4 linked regions of the Oryctolagus cuniculus genome follow. The protein of the gene in region 1 purifies or fractionates together with the protein of each later gene. This does not show direct contact. Links are inferred from orthologs where the notes say so. Each region holds a gene or a part of one and is shown on either strand. Other genes may lie near its edges.

Evidence for each region.
Region 2: the proteins of SNAP23 (region 1) and VAMP2 purify together in Homo sapiens (affinity purification with western blotting; 4 studies listed by BioGRID and IntAct, with this or other methods). This does not show direct contact. The link is inferred for Oryctolagus cuniculus from reciprocal best matches to the Homo sapiens genes SNAP23 and VAMP2.
Region 3: the proteins of SNAP23 (region 1) and VAMP3 purify together in Homo sapiens (affinity purification with western blotting; 6 studies listed by BioGRID and IntAct, with this or other methods). This does not show direct contact. The link is inferred for Oryctolagus cuniculus from reciprocal best matches to the Homo sapiens genes SNAP23 and VAMP3.
Region 4: the proteins of SNAP23 (region 1) and NAPA purify together in Homo sapiens (affinity purification with mass spectrometry; 4 studies listed by BioGRID and IntAct, with this or other methods). This does not show direct contact. The link is inferred for Oryctolagus cuniculus from reciprocal best matches to the Homo sapiens genes SNAP23 and NAPA.

What each region holds. Positions count from the first base shown.
Region 1 is NC_091443.1:65,545,169-65,549,326, forward strand, and holds the start of SNAP23 (synaptosomal-associated protein 23), read left to right. Parts: upstream 1-1,355; coding exon 1,356-1,412; intron 1,413-1,931; coding exon 1,932-1,973; intron 1,974-2,744; coding exon 2,745-2,793; intron 2,794-3,489; coding exon 3,490-3,607; intron 3,608-4,158. UniProt on the Homo sapiens protein: Essential component of the high affinity receptor for the general membrane fusion machinery and an important regulator of transport vesicle docking and fusion.
Region 2 is NC_091448.1:52,652,079-52,656,017, reverse strand, and holds the start of VAMP2 (vesicle-associated membrane protein 2), read left to right. Parts: upstream 1-1,132; 5' UTR 1,133-1,290; coding exon 1,291-1,292; intron 1,293-1,822; coding exon 1,823-1,943; intron 1,944-2,413; coding exon 2,414-2,572; intron 2,573-2,652; coding exon 2,653-2,704; intron 2,705-3,255; coding exon 3,256-3,272; 3' UTR 3,273-3,939. UniProt on the Homo sapiens protein: Involved in the targeting and/or fusion of transport vesicles to their target membrane. Major SNARE protein of synaptic vesicles which mediates fusion of synaptic vesicles to release neurotransmitters.
Region 3 is NC_091438.1:159,935,332-159,939,318, forward strand, and holds the start of VAMP3 (vesicle-associated membrane protein 3), read right to left. Parts: upstream 2,808-3,987; 5' UTR 2,655-2,807; coding exon 2,653-2,654; intron 876-2,652; coding exon 797-875; intron 1-796. UniProt on the Homo sapiens protein: SNARE involved in vesicular transport from the late endosomes to the trans-Golgi network.
Region 4 is NC_091449.1:10,127,639-10,131,628, forward strand, and holds the start of NAPA (alpha-soluble NSF attachment protein), read left to right. Parts: upstream 1-1,183; 5' UTR 1,184-1,381; coding exon 1,382-1,479; intron 1,480-3,990. UniProt on the Homo sapiens protein: Required for vesicular transport between the endoplasmic reticulum and the Golgi apparatus. Together with GNA12 promotes CDH5 localization to plasma membrane.

The DNA.
Region 1 (4,158 bases):
CAAGTCCTTGGGCCCCTACACCCACATGGGAGACCTGAAAGAAGCTCCAGGCTCCTGGCTTTGTATCCGCCCAGCTTCAGCTGTTATGGCTGTTTGGGGAGTGAACCAGCAGATGCAAGAACTCTCTCTCTCTCTCTGCCTCTGTCTCTCTGTGACTCTATCTTTCAAATAAATGAATAGATTTTTTTTAAAAAAAATGTAATGCAAATCTAATCTGTGTATTGGGAAGAAAAGCTAGATCTGTTGCATAGTGTTTATTTATGTGACTTCTCAAAGGAGAATACACAAGAATGATACTGGATCGCACCTACTAGATATTGTGTATTTTAGCTTCAGTGTCTGTAAGGCCTCTCTTTCAAAGGTGGGATATAGAAAGGCTAGTTCTTCAGTTTCTTAGGATGTTACTAACACTATGAACAATACAAGCAGGTGGAGGAGAAGAGTGCTTTAATGAAAACTTGAGCTCTTTTCTGAACTCTGTACCAGCATTACCCTTTTCTTGTTTAGAATAAAAGTATTTCACTTTCTCTAATGTGTAACCTGGACAACTGGCATATTTCTAAAATGTTTCCTGTGTTTATTAGGCACATGACTTTTAATTTGTTATTTTCCTTAACTAGACTCTATTACCTTACTGCTTTTCCAGAAGAACGTTGTACAACCAAGAATTAATTTCAGTAGTCTCTTAAAGTGCTTGTCTTGCAGCAGTGCCTTTCTTCTTAAAGTAGGGTGACCACCTTCCCGTTTTAAAGAGCACTTCAGGGCCGGTGTTGTGGCGTAGCAGGTAAAGCTGCCCCTGACACGCTGGAATCCATATAGGCATCCATTCAAGTCTCAGTTGCCCCACTTCCCATCCAGCTCCTTGCTAAAGTGCCTGGGAAATCATGGAAGGATGCCCCATGTTCTTGGGCTCCTGCACCAATGTGGGAGACCTGGAAGAAGCTCCTGGCTCCTGGCTTTGGATTGGCCCAATCCCAGCCATTGTGGCCATTTGGGGAGTAAACCAGCAGATGGAAGATCTCTGTCTCTCCCCCTCTCACTCTGTAACTCTTTCAAATAAAATAAATAAATCTAAAAAAAAAAAACAAAAAAAAAAAACAAAAAAACACACACTTCAGTAGAAGTCCTAAAACCTGTTTTATGTGCATCTTTGGTACTAACTAGCATTAAATATCCAATTAGTCTTTTTCAGCTATCTGTGGGATAGATAAATAAAAGTGGGTTTTATCTTGTCTTCATAAGAAATACCTAAATTCCATAAGTCTACCCTCTTTGTTTTGCTCAAAGCTTTGTTTCCTTGTTCTTGTAGGATACCCACATTTCCATTTCTTTGCCTGATAAAGTTTTGATTCATCATGGATAATCTGACATCAGAAGAAATTCAGCTGAGGGCTCACCAGGTTACTGATGAGGTAAATGCTTTATTGAGAATAAGTAATCCTGTTGCAGTTTTCACGGCGCAGGGTCTTCCTAGTCCCTTTGTGTCAAAGAATGAATTTGCCCCTCAGTGGCATTCATTGCTCATTGCTTTTCATCAACTCACCAGAAACACTAAGTAAGGGAAGATAATTCGCATGGTTTTTCCAGATAGTCATTGCTTAACAGTTACTCACAACAAAGATACTCTAAATTTGAAGAATTCTGGATTTTTTATTTATTTCCTACTATCTGTGTAATATTCTTAGAGTTCTGTCTTCATCAAATTTTTATGAACCCCTTTAAGTGTACCATCCTAATTTTCTTTTAAGAAGGACTTGATAAGAATAACTGAAAATACAGTGACCAGTTTTCTTGATTTTGTTTTAAAGGGAGGGATGGGCTAGTGATTTTTAAACAGAATAACGTTCTGAATATAGTCTGTGTTTTTTTTTTTTTTTTTTTTTGGCTACATATTTTGAAATGTTTAAACTAAAACTGTATTTTTTTCCTAGTCTCTGGAAAGTACAAGGAGAATCCTGGGTTTAGCCATTGAGGTAAGAAAGTGTTTAATCATCAAGTTAAATACAGAAGTTTATAGGAGGGATCCTGATAGCACTAGCTGGAGTTGCTGCTAAAGCACATTCTATCAATATACTTTATTATTTGAAACCTGCAATTACTGAAATTGTCAAACCATGTGCTAACTGGCCTTTTCTGCTTTTCCCTTTGTGATGGTATTGGAATATGCTTGGAAAGATGAATTAATTTTAAGTTTTTGACTTAATTATTTTTGGATATTATGTTGAAGTGTGTTGATTTAAGAATGCTAGTTCTGGCCGGCACCGCGGCTCAGTAGGCTAATCCTCCGCCTTGCGGCGCTGGCACAGCGGGTTCTAGTCCCGGTCAAGGCGCCGGATTCTGTCCTGGTTGCCCCTCTTCCAGGCCAGCTCTCTGCTGTGGCCTGGGAGTGCAGTGGAGGGTGGCCCAAGTGCTTGGGCCCTGCACCCCATGGGAGACCAGGAGAAGCACCTGGCTCCTGCCTTTGGATCAGCGCGGTGCGCCGGCCGTGGCGGCCATTGGAGGGTGAACCAATGGCAAAAGGAAGACCTTTCTCTCTGTCTCTCTCTCTCTCTCACTGTCCACTCTGCCTGTCAAAAAAAAAAGAATGCTAGTTCTATCTGTAGCTTCGATCCTCTGAGGATGAATTTCCAAATGATTCTAGTCTTGCTATTTGTCAGCCCTTTTAAGGTCTTATTTCTGTTGGTTTAGGGTATTTAATTAATTAATTTATTTTTTACTATTGGTATTTTCCCTCTTTGTTTTAGTCTCAGGATGCAGGAATCAAGACCATCACTATGCTGGATGAACAAGGGGGTGAGTTAAAGTTACTGACAGAAATTCTTAAATTGATTTACAATGCCAAAATGTTCTATCAAATCAGCCCTGTATAGATTTTCCTTTGGGAATGCCTTAACTTTGTAAGATGAGTGATGTGTTTACTTCTGATTTGAATGACATCATGTTTATTGCCTGGTTAGCACAGGGGGCAGTGACCAACTATATACCAAGTATGTGTTAGGCCAGCATGGCTTATTGTGTGCATCAGGCCTCTATGCATTCTTACTTCACCCTAGAAATCAAAGTTAAGTCCTAAAACCGATTTAGATTCAGATTAACTTGGGAACATTTGATTTGAGTTGGCCTTGAGAAATCTCATCTGTTTTTGATTAGTCTTGTGGTCACCTCAAGTTTCAAGCATAATAAGTGATAGGAATGCTGGGGATCTGATGTGGTCAGAGTACACTTGCTTGCATTGGGAGGGTGCTAAATCTTCACATGCTCCTGGTGTACAGATTTCTTTAGAATAGATCCTTCCACAATTATAAGCCATTGTCAGTATGGGTGTAAGAGTGTCTTCATGTTGAACATTTTGTAATATCTTCTGACACTGATAGATTTATTCTTTGTGGTATAGTATTGGTAGATTTGAAGTTGAAGTTTGCTATTCCACTATGGCGTTTTCTTGTTGATACTGTAACAGAAAATGTACCTTCAACACTTTATTCTTAGAACAACTAAACCGCATAGAAGAAGGCATGGACCAGATAAATAAAGACATGAGAGAGGCAGAGAAGACCTTAACAGAACTCAACAAGTGCTGTGGCCTTTGTGTCTGCCCATGTAATAGGTGAGTGGATAAATCAAGTTTTTTTCAAAATCAGTAAATGAGAGCATCTCCTCCCAAGTAAGGTTAGAAGTATGACTGGACCTAGATGAGGATGTTTGTTAGGTAAACTTAAAATATTTCTTCTTTTGGCAGATTGAGTGCTTCATGCGAATAGCTATGTTCATTGAAAACCATGGCTTACTTTTGGCCAATACTGGGAGCGATTTCCAATTTTAATTTGTAGTAAAATACAAAAATTTTGGAAAATACGTATTTGAACGATACAGAGCTGGATGGGGTTAGTGTCTTTCGTTTCAAACAAGGGAAGTTAATAAAACTCGAGTATGTGTTCTGTGATAGGCTCCTGAGAGATGGCTAAAGGAATAAAGGACTTGGGCCTTGTTTTCAAAAGACTGCTATGTTGTTGGGCGTATGAAGAAAAAACAGAAAATATGTAAATCTAGTGTTAGCTCATATGATATCAATTAAGTATAGGGGGAAAGGTGATAAAGGTTGGGCTGGAGAACATCTTACAGAAGAGGTGGCAGATGAGTTAGGCTTTCAGTGATTAG
Region 2 (3,939 bases), on another chromosome or scaffold:
CACAGCCATCGCCCCCCCCCCCCAAATGCTTCCTCTATCCTGGAAGCTTGCCTTGATCCTGCCCACTCCAGAGGCACAGCTCACCCGTGCCCATTTTCTCCTGCAAGCTGGCTGGGACTACGTGCAGGATTTAGGTGGAGACCAGTGATCGATGGCCTAGGAGGGGGACCATCTCCTACAAGCTATCCCACTGCTGCCGTACATATTTAGTCCTAGATGTGTAATGTGTCGGAGATCCAGAGAGAGAAAAGGAGCTGCCCGGGGGACACATCCAGGAGGCTAGCCCACGTGTAAAGCAGCACCACATAGCAGTGCCACCCTTGCCTGCTGTCCTCCTTCCTCCCAAGGTAAAAAGCCCCCGGCCTGCGGCCAGGTTCAAAGCCAAAGCCCTCGCCTGTCCCGCAGCAGCTGACTCCAGTCTGGGGCACAGCTGGGTCTGTGGCCGGCCTAGACGTGACGATGTCCCCCCCCGGGGGGGTGAGTGCGGGGGGCAGCATGCGCCCTCCCCCTGGGTCTGCTCCAGCTTTGCCTGCCCCTGCTCTGAACTTGGCAGTTTCATAGCCTGCAGCCCCTCGGGGATTTGGTTGGAGGCGGGGCCTGGGGAGGGGAAGGGTCCTCCTCCTCCTCCTCCTGCTCCGCAGGGGCCCCAAACCTCCCTTCAGCCATCCACCTGCCAGGTGACAGGTGGTCTCAGCGCGCATCACCCCGCTCCTCCACTCTGGCAGGAGCGTTCCCGCTCTCCGCTGGGCCCTTCTGATTTCCCCACGCCCAGCCCATTGCGAGTGCCGAAGCTGGGGGGTCACCAGGCATTGCAACCTGGCCAGGGCGAGACCTCGGGCCACGGGGCTGCGGACTGGTTTATCGGAGTCACGGGAGAGGGAGGAGGTGGCCTAGGGTGAGGTGCGGGGCTCCGCGGCGGAAGGCCGGGTAGCAGGGGGCTGCGAGCCTCCAGGACGCGGCGGCGCGGGGGTTTGGGGAAAGCCGCAGCAGTCAGCCAGGGGTGGCGCGGAGGGCGCGCGAGGTGCGGGGAGGGCGCGCGAGGCGCGCCGCGGCGGCCCCGCCCGGCTCGACCCCCGCCCCGCCGGGCCCCGCCCCGCCCCCGCGGCCGCGCTCGCGACGTGTCGCCTGCGAGCCCCGCCCCCGCCCGCAGTGCCCGGGTGCGGGTGACGTGCGGCCGCCATCTTCCCGTCCCGGGCAGCCAGCGCCAGTCGGAGCCAGCGCGAGCCGCCGCCGCTGCCGCCGCCGCCGCCATCACTGCCGCTGCCAAGTCCTCCACCCGCTGCCCCCGCCATGTGAGTCGGCCGGCCGCCCGCCGTCCGTACCGCGCTTCCCCGCCTCGGCCGCCGCCCTGGGAGTGGACCGCGCGGGGAGGGCCCGGGGTCCCGCCCGCGCCCCCGGTGCTCTCGGGGCCAGCCTGGCGCCCGTGACTGCGCGGCGGGCCGGGGAGAGCCCCCGCGGCCCCCGGGCTGGCCGGCGCGGGCGATGGCCGCGCGGGAGGGTGCGGACCCAGCGTCTGCCTTGCCCCGCCCCGGCCCTGTCACCGCGGACGCCTGTCATCCGGTGTCGACCCCAGACCGCGTCCGTGAGGTCGCTCTCATTTGGCAGGCGGGGAAACTGAGGCCCGGAGGGGGGAGGGGGCCTCGCTCAAGGTCACTCAGCTCAGCGGCGATGGGGCTGGACGGAGACCAGGGCTCCCATCGGGCGGCCTTCCTCCCGAAAAGGAGGACTGGAGGGACGACGGATGGACAGGTGGATGGGCGGAGCCCTGGCCGCGGGGCCGGAGTCTCTGGACCCTGGGCCTTAATCTGCGCCTGCTCCTCAGGTCTGCTACCGCTGCCACCGCCCCCCCTGCCGCCCCGGCCGGGGAGGGCGGCCCCCCTGCGCCCCCTCCCAATCTCACCAGTAACAGGAGACTGCAGCAGACCCAGGCCCAGGTGGATGAGGTGAGTGTGAGCCGGGTGGGAGGCCGCAGGCCAGAGCCTGCAGGTGGGCACGCAGGTGTGGGGCCCATCGCGGGTTGGGGGTGATGACAGTTCACAGCTGTGGGTGTGGGGACAAAGACATGCCGAGCCTCCTCCCTGCCTTCGCGTCAGCACACATTTGGAAGGGCGCTGGGGTGTCAAGCAGCCTTGCTAGCCTGCGGTGTGCCAGCCTGGGCAGGTTTGCCCTGGTGACTGACAGGCTCTCTGAGGGTCGCTCTGACATCTGAATGTGTGGCTGCCAGCATGCCCCTGATGTGTGCTCCTTGCATGTCCCCAGGTATGCTAGGCATGTTCTCTGTGTGTCCTTGGCATGTTAACTTGGCGGTATCTGGGTGCATGTTCTGTGTATGGCACCCTGGGCACACGGTCAAGGAGTGCCCTCGTTTCGGCGGGCCTTGGCACACCCCCTGCCTCCTGGGCCCCTCCCCCAGGTGGTGGACATCATGAGGGTGAATGTGGACAAAGTCCTGGAGCGGGACCAGAAGCTGTCTGAGCTGGACGACCGCGCCGATGCACTCCAGGCGGGGGCCTCCCAGTTTGAAACTAGTGCAGCCAAGCTCAAGCGCAAATACTGGTGGAAAAACCTCAAGGTGAGGGCGGGGGCGGGAGAACTGGGGGGTGAATGGAAGGATGGGGGCTTGTCTCACTGACCCTCCCCTCCCGCCCCCAGATGATGATCATCTTGGGAGTGATTTGCGCCATCATCCTCATCATCATCATCGGTGAGTGGGGCGGGAGTGGCCGGGGCCCCTTCTCTGGAGAGGCTCCCCCCGGTGGGTGCAGTCTGGGATGTGAAGGTCACTAACCTAGTCTTCACTCTGGCAAACGCCACATAGCTGCTTAGGGAGCTGTGGGTCCTAGAGCCAGAAAGCCTGTGCAGCCTGCCGGGTGCCTGACTGTTGGCAACGGGAAAGCCGGTGGATCTCCCACTACTTCACTGAGCATCCTTTGGGCTTGAGAGCCCAGTTTGGGAACTGGAACTGGGGAGTGGGAGGCGGAAATGGAGACATGGCCAGGAAGCCAGTCCTGCCGCTGTCTGAGAGCTGGTGAATTGGGTGGGGGTGTGGCTCCAAAGCCATCCCGTGGAGGCACCCATCTGGCCAGCCCCTTGCTTCACAGATGGAGAGACTGAGGCCTCGAGCTGGGGGAAGGGGCAGCAGCCAGCCAGCTAGGGGGTGGGGAGGACCGCAGCAGGGCCGGGCCTGACACCCAGCTCTCTCTCTCTCCCTCCCTCCCCCCTCCCTCTTCCTCTTCCTCTTCCCTCTCTCCACAGTTTACTTCAGCACTTAAATCCCCGAGGAGTCTGCCCTGCCTAGAGAAGGGCCTCTCCCCCACCCCCAGCCGTTCCTCCACCTCTCAGCCATATCTCTCAGCCCCTCCCCGGATCCGTGTGTGTGTGTGTGTGTCTGTGTGTGTGCCCCCTGTAAATAGCCAGCTGTTATTTATACATATATAATATTATATATATTTGGTCTGTTTGTAGTTTTATTACTAGAAGATTTTTCCGGTTGTCCTTAACACCCCTTCCTGAGGTGTCCCCGTCCTCGCCTCTCTCTGTCCCTGTCCCCCCCTTTCCCTCCTGACCAGTCCCAAGTCCCCTCATTTGCATCTGCTATGCAACAGCCCCTCTCCTTCCCCCATCCAGCTGATCCTTCCTTGCCTTCCCCCTCCTCCCCCTCTGCACTCCTCCCACAACAGACAAAAGCACCTGGCCAGGCCTCCCTACATGCACCTTCTTTGCATCCATTGGGAGGCCCTGAGACTGGCCCCACTTGGTCCTGAGAATCCCAAGATCTTCTGGGAGCTTCCAGCGTGTTAATTAGCAGATCATTTGCACACCAACATCCCTTTGGTTTCCTTGTTTTTTGTTCCATCACTCTTCTTTGAACCAATTTCTTTCTTACTGGAAAGTTAGTCCCCAGTAGTCCTTGTGTCACTCTTATTTGCACGACATTAC
Region 3 (3,987 bases), on another chromosome or scaffold:
AAAAAAAAAAAAAAAAAAAAAAAGATTCTGTGAACATCTATTGCTCAAGAATTCTAGGGAACTGGCACTGTGGCCTAAGCGTAAAGCCACCATCTGCAGTGCCAACATCCCATAAGGGCACCAGTTTGTATCCCAGCCGCTCCACTTCCGATCCAGCTCTCCGCTGTGGCCTGGGAAAGCAGCAGAAGATGGCCCAAGTGCTTGGGCCTCTGCACCCATGTGGGAGACCCGGAAGAAGCTCCTGGCTTCTGTCTCCCTTTCTGCCTCGTCTTCTCTGTGTATTAACTCTGACTTTCAAATAAATAAATAAATAAATCTTTTTTTTAAAAAAAAGAATTCTATAAATACGGATGTGTTGAGCTGCAGTTTGCCAGAGACTGCCTTCTGTGTGTCAATGGGCAACTGTCACAGATGAATTCTACAGAGACTTGCTCAGACTGGGTAATGTGTAGGTCAGGCTAAAGGACAGAGCGTTTTGATTTAAAAATACATGTATATCCATCAGAAGGACTGGTCCTGGCATGAGCAATCTTAGACCTAATCCTTAAAGTTCTGTTACTTTTTTTAATAAGACACTTTTGGGGCATGCCCTCAGGGAGACTGTTTTATGTACATGATTCTATATAGGTTCCCGGAGAGTCTGACTTTGGCTTAGATTAGGGCAGATTCACTACCTTTATGATAACTCAACACTGATGTTCCATTCACACCTTTACGAGAGTTTTTCTAAACAGAATTATCTTCGGCACGCTGCCATGTTTGTTTAAATCTACGTTCCCAGCATTTCGAGCGATACCTCATCCACTTGGTTCTGCGTCTGCTGAAGTCTTCTGCTGCCGGCAGCAGCGCTGGAACCTGCAGGTGCACCCGTGGACCTGGAACGCGGAAAGGCACAGCATGAGTCGGTCAGGAATCCCAATACAGTACTGTCAGCTTTAGGATGCGATCCCATTCCCCAGGACTCCAGTGCGGACAACGCTCACATCACAACCAAAGCGAAAGAGAACCCTGCCTGTAGACCTGAACAGTTCCTCCAAGATTACCAATTTGCCCACATCCGAGGGACCGGAGTCCAGGAGGAAGGCTCGGTAGAGTCTGGTACACAGCAGCGACCCCCAGCCGGGCACACACACAGGCCGCTCTCGGCACTCAGGACTCCCCGGGCCCTTCCACTGCGGCAACAATGCTTTCAGAGGAATAAGAGTTCCGGTGTCTCCTAATAGCGACTCATTTACAGACACAGCGTAGGAACACCGGGCGGGGGGGGGGGGGGGGGGATGCCGTGGAATGTTCGAGAATGGCGAGGAAGCATCGCATCCTCTCAGCGACCGACTCATCCTCCAAGTCTCCCTCTCTTGGCCACTGCGGCCCGGAGCTCCCCTAGGGCTTGGCTGGCGCCGGACAGTCACCAGTCACCTCTCTCCTGACAAACCACGGGCTCCTGGGTCCTAGAATTCTCTCCTCCGTGTTCAAGAATGCCTGGAGTGCTGGCGCCGCGGCTCACTAGGCTAATCCTCCGCCTGCGGCGCCGGCACTCCGGGTTCTAGTCCCGGTCGGGGCGCCGGGTTCTGTCCCGGTTGTCCCTCTTCCAGGCCAGCTCTCTGCTGTGGCCCGGGAAGGCAGTGGAGGATGGCACGGGTGCTTGGGCCCTGCACCCCATGGGAGACCAGGAGAAGCACCTGGCTCCTGCCTTCGGATCAGCGCGGTGCACTGGCTGCAGCGCGCCGGCCGCGGCGGCCATTGGAGGGTGAACCAACGGAAAAGGAAGACCTTTCTCTCTGTCTCTCTCTCACTGTCCACTCTGCCTGTCCAAAAATGATAATAATAATAATAATGCGTGGAGCACCTGCCTCGCCACACAACATCAGTTATTTAAAACCTGCCGCGCGTCAGCAGCCGGGGAATAAGGCAGATCCCACGCTGTTCTGCGTGGAGTGTCCGCGAGAGCACGCAGAGGGCCCACGCCCCGCGCGGGCTCCTTGGATCCTAACTCTTTGGGGTGGGGGGGACACTGCCGATGCCCTCAACACGAGGTTTAGCAGTCACTCCAGGGGGCATTCACCGGCTCCGGGGGTCCGCGGGGCTCTGCTGACCAGCACAGCGGCCTCCCCAGGGACGTCCCACGGGCGCGCCCCTCGGGCGCTGGGCTGGTTTTCCCCGCAGGGGTTGCAACGAGGGGCTGGAGGCGAGACTGCCGGGGCCCTGCGATGCTGGACAACCGAATCTGGAAACAGCGGTCTCCAGGGCCGCAGCCCCAGGAACGCATTCGCTCAGGAGCAGCAAGGCCCCGGCCAGGCTGCCGTGTCCCGAGGCCGCCGCTCCCGGCCCCGCGGTCGCCGGCGCTGCTCTTGGGGACCTCGCGGGGCAGGGCCGGGCTGCAGGGCTGGGCGCAGCCACTTCCTCCCGGAAGCCCGCCGGCGGCAGGGCCCTGGGGACGGCCGGCGGCGCCGCGGCGACAGCTAGGCCCTGCCACGGCCCGCACTCCCGCGGGCGCTGCCCGCCGCAGGCCTCGGAACGCACTCAACGCCCTCACGGGCTCGGCCCGCGGCGGAGGGGCGACCGGCAGGCAGCCACCGGGCCGTGCGACGGCTCCCGCCGCGGGCCGCCGCCTGCGGGCCCCGAAGCCGCCCCGCGCCCCGTCGCGTCACTCACATTTTGGCAGCGGCGGAGGCGCGGACGGCGGGGCGAGAGTCCTCCGAGCTGCGCAGCCCAGGACCTAGGCTCGGGGATGGGTGGGGTGGCGCGGCGGCAATGACGTCATCGGGCGCGGCCGGGCGCGCCGGAAGTGGGCGCCCACGTGGGCGGGGCCAGCGCGAGGCGCCGTCTGCGTCCTAACGCCGTCGGCGGGGCCTGTGGCGGCCGCCCCGGGCCACTGGCAATGGCGGCGTGGGGGGGCCTGGCCGCTGGGGACGCGGTCAGGGGGAGCAGGCGGTACGGGACAGGGACTGTCTGGGCGAGGGCGGGGCTCTGTACGTTCTTCCGGGTGTTTTCGTTTGTGACCGGTGTCTGTCAGCGCCCGCCGCCGGCCGCGCTGAGGGGCGCCCGGGTCGAGGCGGAGTGTGAGGTGGGAGTGGGGAACGCAGTGCCGGCTTGGCCGCGTCTGTCACGTGAGGAAGGAGCGAGCGCGCGCCCCGGGTTGGGGTCGGGGGTCGGGCCGGGCCGGCCGCGCTGGGCACGCGCCGGGCACGCGGCAGCCGGCGGGGCCGGGGGCCTCGAGGAGCCGGCGGGGGCCGCTACGGGCGTGGGACGGTGCCGGCGCGGACGGCCGCTGGCCGGGACACTGGCCCAGGGCTTGGGACTTCAACTGCAAAGCTGGGCGTCTGCAGGACTGACTCTCGCTCAGGAAGGCGTCCGCCCAGCGCTGTTCGGGATCACGGGTTGGCATTGGGAACCGGCACGTGCTCACCCCCTTGGATTCCGGGAACGGGTCAAGTTAAAGCAAAACACGGATAGTATGGGGAAATTTTCTTCATTTTTAATTTACAGCAGAAAGAATATAAAGCATTCAGAAAACATTTTCCATATTTTAAGGGCAATTCAAAACATTTTGCATGGTTTCCAGCAGCTGAGTTCTTCAACAGATCCATTGATTCAATGATGCTTTACATGCACAATTACAAAAATAAAACTTACAAAAAAGAAGACATCTAGACTAGTTTTACATGCAAGTCTCAGGGACCCCCCGTTGGGCGCCAACTACTGTGTGGAACTGCCAGAAGCGACCGTGCAGCCAGAGAGGGGGTTCGTGTTATTGTCTTTTATTTCGTTCACACAGTACAGCTGATTTCGAATGGGTAACGAGAATAGCAATTAAATCTTCAGGAGACAGAATAAGATTAGCTATTAATTTTATAATGAAATCCTACTCCTGGCACTTGGGAATTCAGATTATCCAAGAAAGCTGCGCTTACCTATCATCTTATATTCGAAATTAAGGTTCACAACCAAGAGAAAGCGGTCAGAAAAGCTTCGATTCAGTGGAAGTGC
Region 4 (3,990 bases), on another chromosome or scaffold:
GGAAAGCGCTTCCTGGAAGAGAGCTGGGCGAGAGGTCGGCCTGCCGTGCCCTGGTCAGTCAACCCCAGCCCCGCACAGCACTGCGCGTGCACACGCCGGTCCCATGCTGGGCGGGGCTCTGGAAAGAAATGGACTCCTGTGCCTCGCAGGCTCAGAATGGGGATCGCGACAGGGCGGGCCCTGCAACCTGACTCTGTAAAGCAGCTTTTCAGAATAGGTTCCCAAAACTCCAGACCCCACAGCTTCCCCACGCTTGCCATTAGGCTGGTACCTCTGATGCAGTGAACAAGCCGATCTGGGCACCGTGTGGCCGGCCAGCGTCTGTGCCCTGACTTCTTGAGGTCAATCCGACGCCACCCTGCACTGAGCAGCCGTGGCCCCCTCGGCTCTTACTAGGGAAGGGGAGCAGTACTAAAAATCAAGATCAAGACACCAGGCAATGCTGGAACCGCCGGCAGGCAGACAGCTTGACTTGCGGCCAGCGGCCAGGTCGAGCTCCCTGCCGGACGGCTGGCCGGGGAAGCCGCCAGGACGGAGGGCCCACGGCGAGAGGGGCCCCCCGCGGCGCCAGCAGCGCCCCACGCTCTGCGCGGCCCCGCGGCTCAGACTGGCGAGTCCGGCCCCTGGGAAACAAGCTCCGGGGGCGACGCCTCTCGTTCTCTGCCCCGTCCCTGCGTCCCCCTCTCGCCTGAATCTCGCACGCGCGGCTGCAGGCGCTCCCATCTGTCAAGCACTGCACGGGCCTCCCGCGCCAGTTTCAGCATCGGCCGGCAGAGGGCGCAAGAGAAAGCAGAACGCTCCCCTTTTTTCCCACTGAGGCCTTTTCGAGTGAAAGGAACCACGCGAGACAAGGCTTAGAGGCGGGACTAAAACACCGAGCAAGAGAACTGTCAAACCCAGGCGTGCGCCGGAAGTTGTCACGTGACAGCCGCCGCTCCAGCTGACCCGTGCCCAACTTCCGCAAGGTGGGGCGGACCCGAGCAGAGAGCGGCTGCTGATTGGTGGAAAGGCAAATACTGCGGCAGCACTTTGGGGGTGGGTCCCTGACGGTGAGGGCTACGATTGGCTAGTGCGGCGTCACGAGGTGGTGGGTGCGGAGCATCCGGAAGAGAGGCGCAAAACAGGTGGCTACGCATGCGTCGAGAGTCACGGGGCGGTGCGCGGCGGCCTGCCGGGGCGTGGCCAGCGGGGAGCGCGCCGCGCTACGAGGTCCCTGATTGGCCAGTGCCAGTCACCTGGTGCCCGGCCTCGGGCGGCGCGCGCCGGTGCGACGTCAACGCAGCCAGCTAAGCTCCCGGGACCTGTGTACCGCGGCCCGGCCGGGCCTGAGTCCTCCCAGGGCCCGGGTCGGGCGGTTCGCTGAGTTCGCTCTGCGGCCGCCATGGATAACTCGGGGAAGGAAGCGGAGGCGATGGCGCTGCTCGCCGAGGCGGAGCGCAAAGTGAAGAACTCGCAGTCCTTCTTCTCAGGCCTGTTCGGGTAGGAACCAGGCCGAAAGGTCGGCCGGGACCTGGGCTGGGGGCCGCAGGGGTCACGGCCTGGGGTGGCGGGGGAGGCGCGGTGCGGGGGCCGGTTTCCAGGGAGAGGGCCGAAGGGGCTTGGGCTGGGGACCCACGGGCCCGGGCGACCACCTCTTGAGGCGGGGAAGGGGATCCAGGCTGAAGACGGGCTCAGAGGCCAGCGGAGACCTGGGCGAAGGGGATACGGGCAGTGGCCTTGGCGGGGACCAGCCGCGGGGGCCAGGTTCCAAAGCCTTCTCAAGCCCTCGGGGGATCTGTTTGAGGGGTCGCGCCGGGGCCTGGGGCTGGGGCCACCTGCCCAAGGGGCTGACCTTCCCGAGCCCAGGCAGGGGGCTGCTGCGTAGCCCTTCGGTAAGGACAGGGCTCGCACAGGGCCTGAGGGCTTGGGGACAGGACTAGCGGCTGCCATGCGGCAGGCGCCCACGGAAGTTGGCGGCAGCTCAGGGCCGGCCGCACTGAGGGGCTTTGGGGTGCGGCTGCCGCTCAGCCCGCGACCTGGGTGAGTTTTAATCTCCCCGACGAAGGGGTAGCCAGTGAGAGCTGTCTCCTCCCCGTCGATAGCCGGGCGGCGTTGGGCTGGCGGATGGCGAGCGCTCCGAAGTGGTGGCTGGCAGTGTTGGGAGTGCCCTGCAAGGAAAGAGGTGTGCGGTGATGGGGGCTGGTAGAGAGCCAGGCGGGAGCCGGGGAGCGGCTCAGGAGCCGAAAGGGGCAGGGAAGGCCTGCGGACCGCGGGGCTTAGCGGGGTCAGGGCACGGGCCGGGGAGGGGTAGCGGAGGTCAGCGGGAAGCTTGGGGGGTCAGGGCACGGGGCCGGGGAGGGGTGGCGGAGGTCAGCGGGAAACTTGGGGGGGTCAGGGCACGGGGCCGGGGAGGGGTGGCAGAGGTCAGCGGGAAGCTTGGGGGGTCAGGGCACGGGGAGGGGTAGCGGAGGTCAGTGGGAAGCTTGGGGGGTCAGGGCACGGGGCCGGGGAGGGGTAGCGGAGGTCAGCTGGAAGCTTGGGGGGTCAGAGCCGGGGAGGGGTAGCGGAGGTCAGCGGGAAGCTTGGGGGGTCAGGGCACGGGGCTGGGGAGGGGTGGCGGAGGTCAGCGGGAAGCTTGGGGGGTCAGGGCACGGGGCCGGGGAGGGGTAGCGGAGGTCAGCTGGAACCTTGGGGGGTCAGGGCCCAGGAGGGGTAGCGGAGGTCAGCTGGAAGCTTGGGGGGTCAGGGCCGGGGAGGGGTAGCGGAGGTCAGCTGGAAGCTTGGGGGGTCAGAGCCGGGGAGGGGTAGCGGAGGTCAGTTGGAAGCTTGGGGGTCAGGGCCGGGGAGGGGTAGCGGAGGTCAGCTGGAACCTTGGGGGATCAGGGCCGGGGAGGGGTAGCAGAGGTCAGCTGGAACCTTGGGGGGTCAGGGCCAGGGAGGGGTAGCAGAGGTCAGGGCACGGGGGCCGGGGAGGGGTAGTGGAGGTCAGCGGGAAGCCGCTGAGGCCGAGCTTAGGACGGGGAATGGGACTGGGGTTTGCTGCAAGCCGGGGAAGGGGGTCTGGGAGGCGGGGGGGGGAGGGTCTTTCCAGGAGACTGAGCCTGCCCTTGCTGCTGGAGGTGGGATAACAGCAAAGGAAAACGTCCGGGTCCTCATGGGTTTTGTTGTAGACTGAGTGGAGACCGTGTGTGTGCGCATGCGTGTGTGTAATTCAAGTGCGCTGTTCTGAGGGTGGCTGGTGGTGTCTGGTGCCCTTGGCCCAGGGTTAGGGCCCCGCTGGGCTGCACCGGGGGGGGGGCGGGCAGCTAAGCCAGCCTGGGACAGGCTGCTGGGTTGGGATGGGGAGCGCGACACTTGGCGTGGACTAGTGAGGCTGGGTTGTTGGTTGTAAGGTGGGCTGGGTGATGTCCTTCAAAGCCTGCAGGACTCGGGCGGACGGCGCCTGGCATGAGTGCTGTGAGCAAAGGCCTCACCTGGTGACAGGGACGGCCAGGGGTGGTCTCCCTCGGGCGTGATGGGCCATCGGGGGAGCCGTGTGCTGCGGAGCTGTGAGGCGCGGCCTGTGAAGGTTTAGTGCAGGGGGTTGGGGCTGGGCCAAGGTGAGGCCACGAGCGAGCGAGGGCCTGGACTTGAGCCGAGCCCGAGAGGAGAGTGCTGGGTCTGAGCAGCGACTGGGGACGCTGCCGCCCGTGCTTCCTGACGCCGGGCCTGGCGCTTCCGTCCTCGCCAAAGCCCCGTGGATAGCGGAGGCCTAGAGACATCGCCGTAGGTGCTGGAGCAGCATGCGCTGCCCGGCCTGGCGCTCACTCTGCCCTGCCGTGCCGCAGCGGCTGCTCCAGGGCCAGGGCCAGGGCCGAGCCCCCAGAGCTCTGCAGTGGGGAGGGCGCGGCACACCAGGTCTCGGGGAGCTGCCGCCCTCTAGCCCCTCCCCCCCAGTCTTCCACGGGAGAAAGGAAGCAGCTTTGGGGCCTGCGCTGCCCCGACGCTGGCACCCCGCATCGGGGCGCTGGT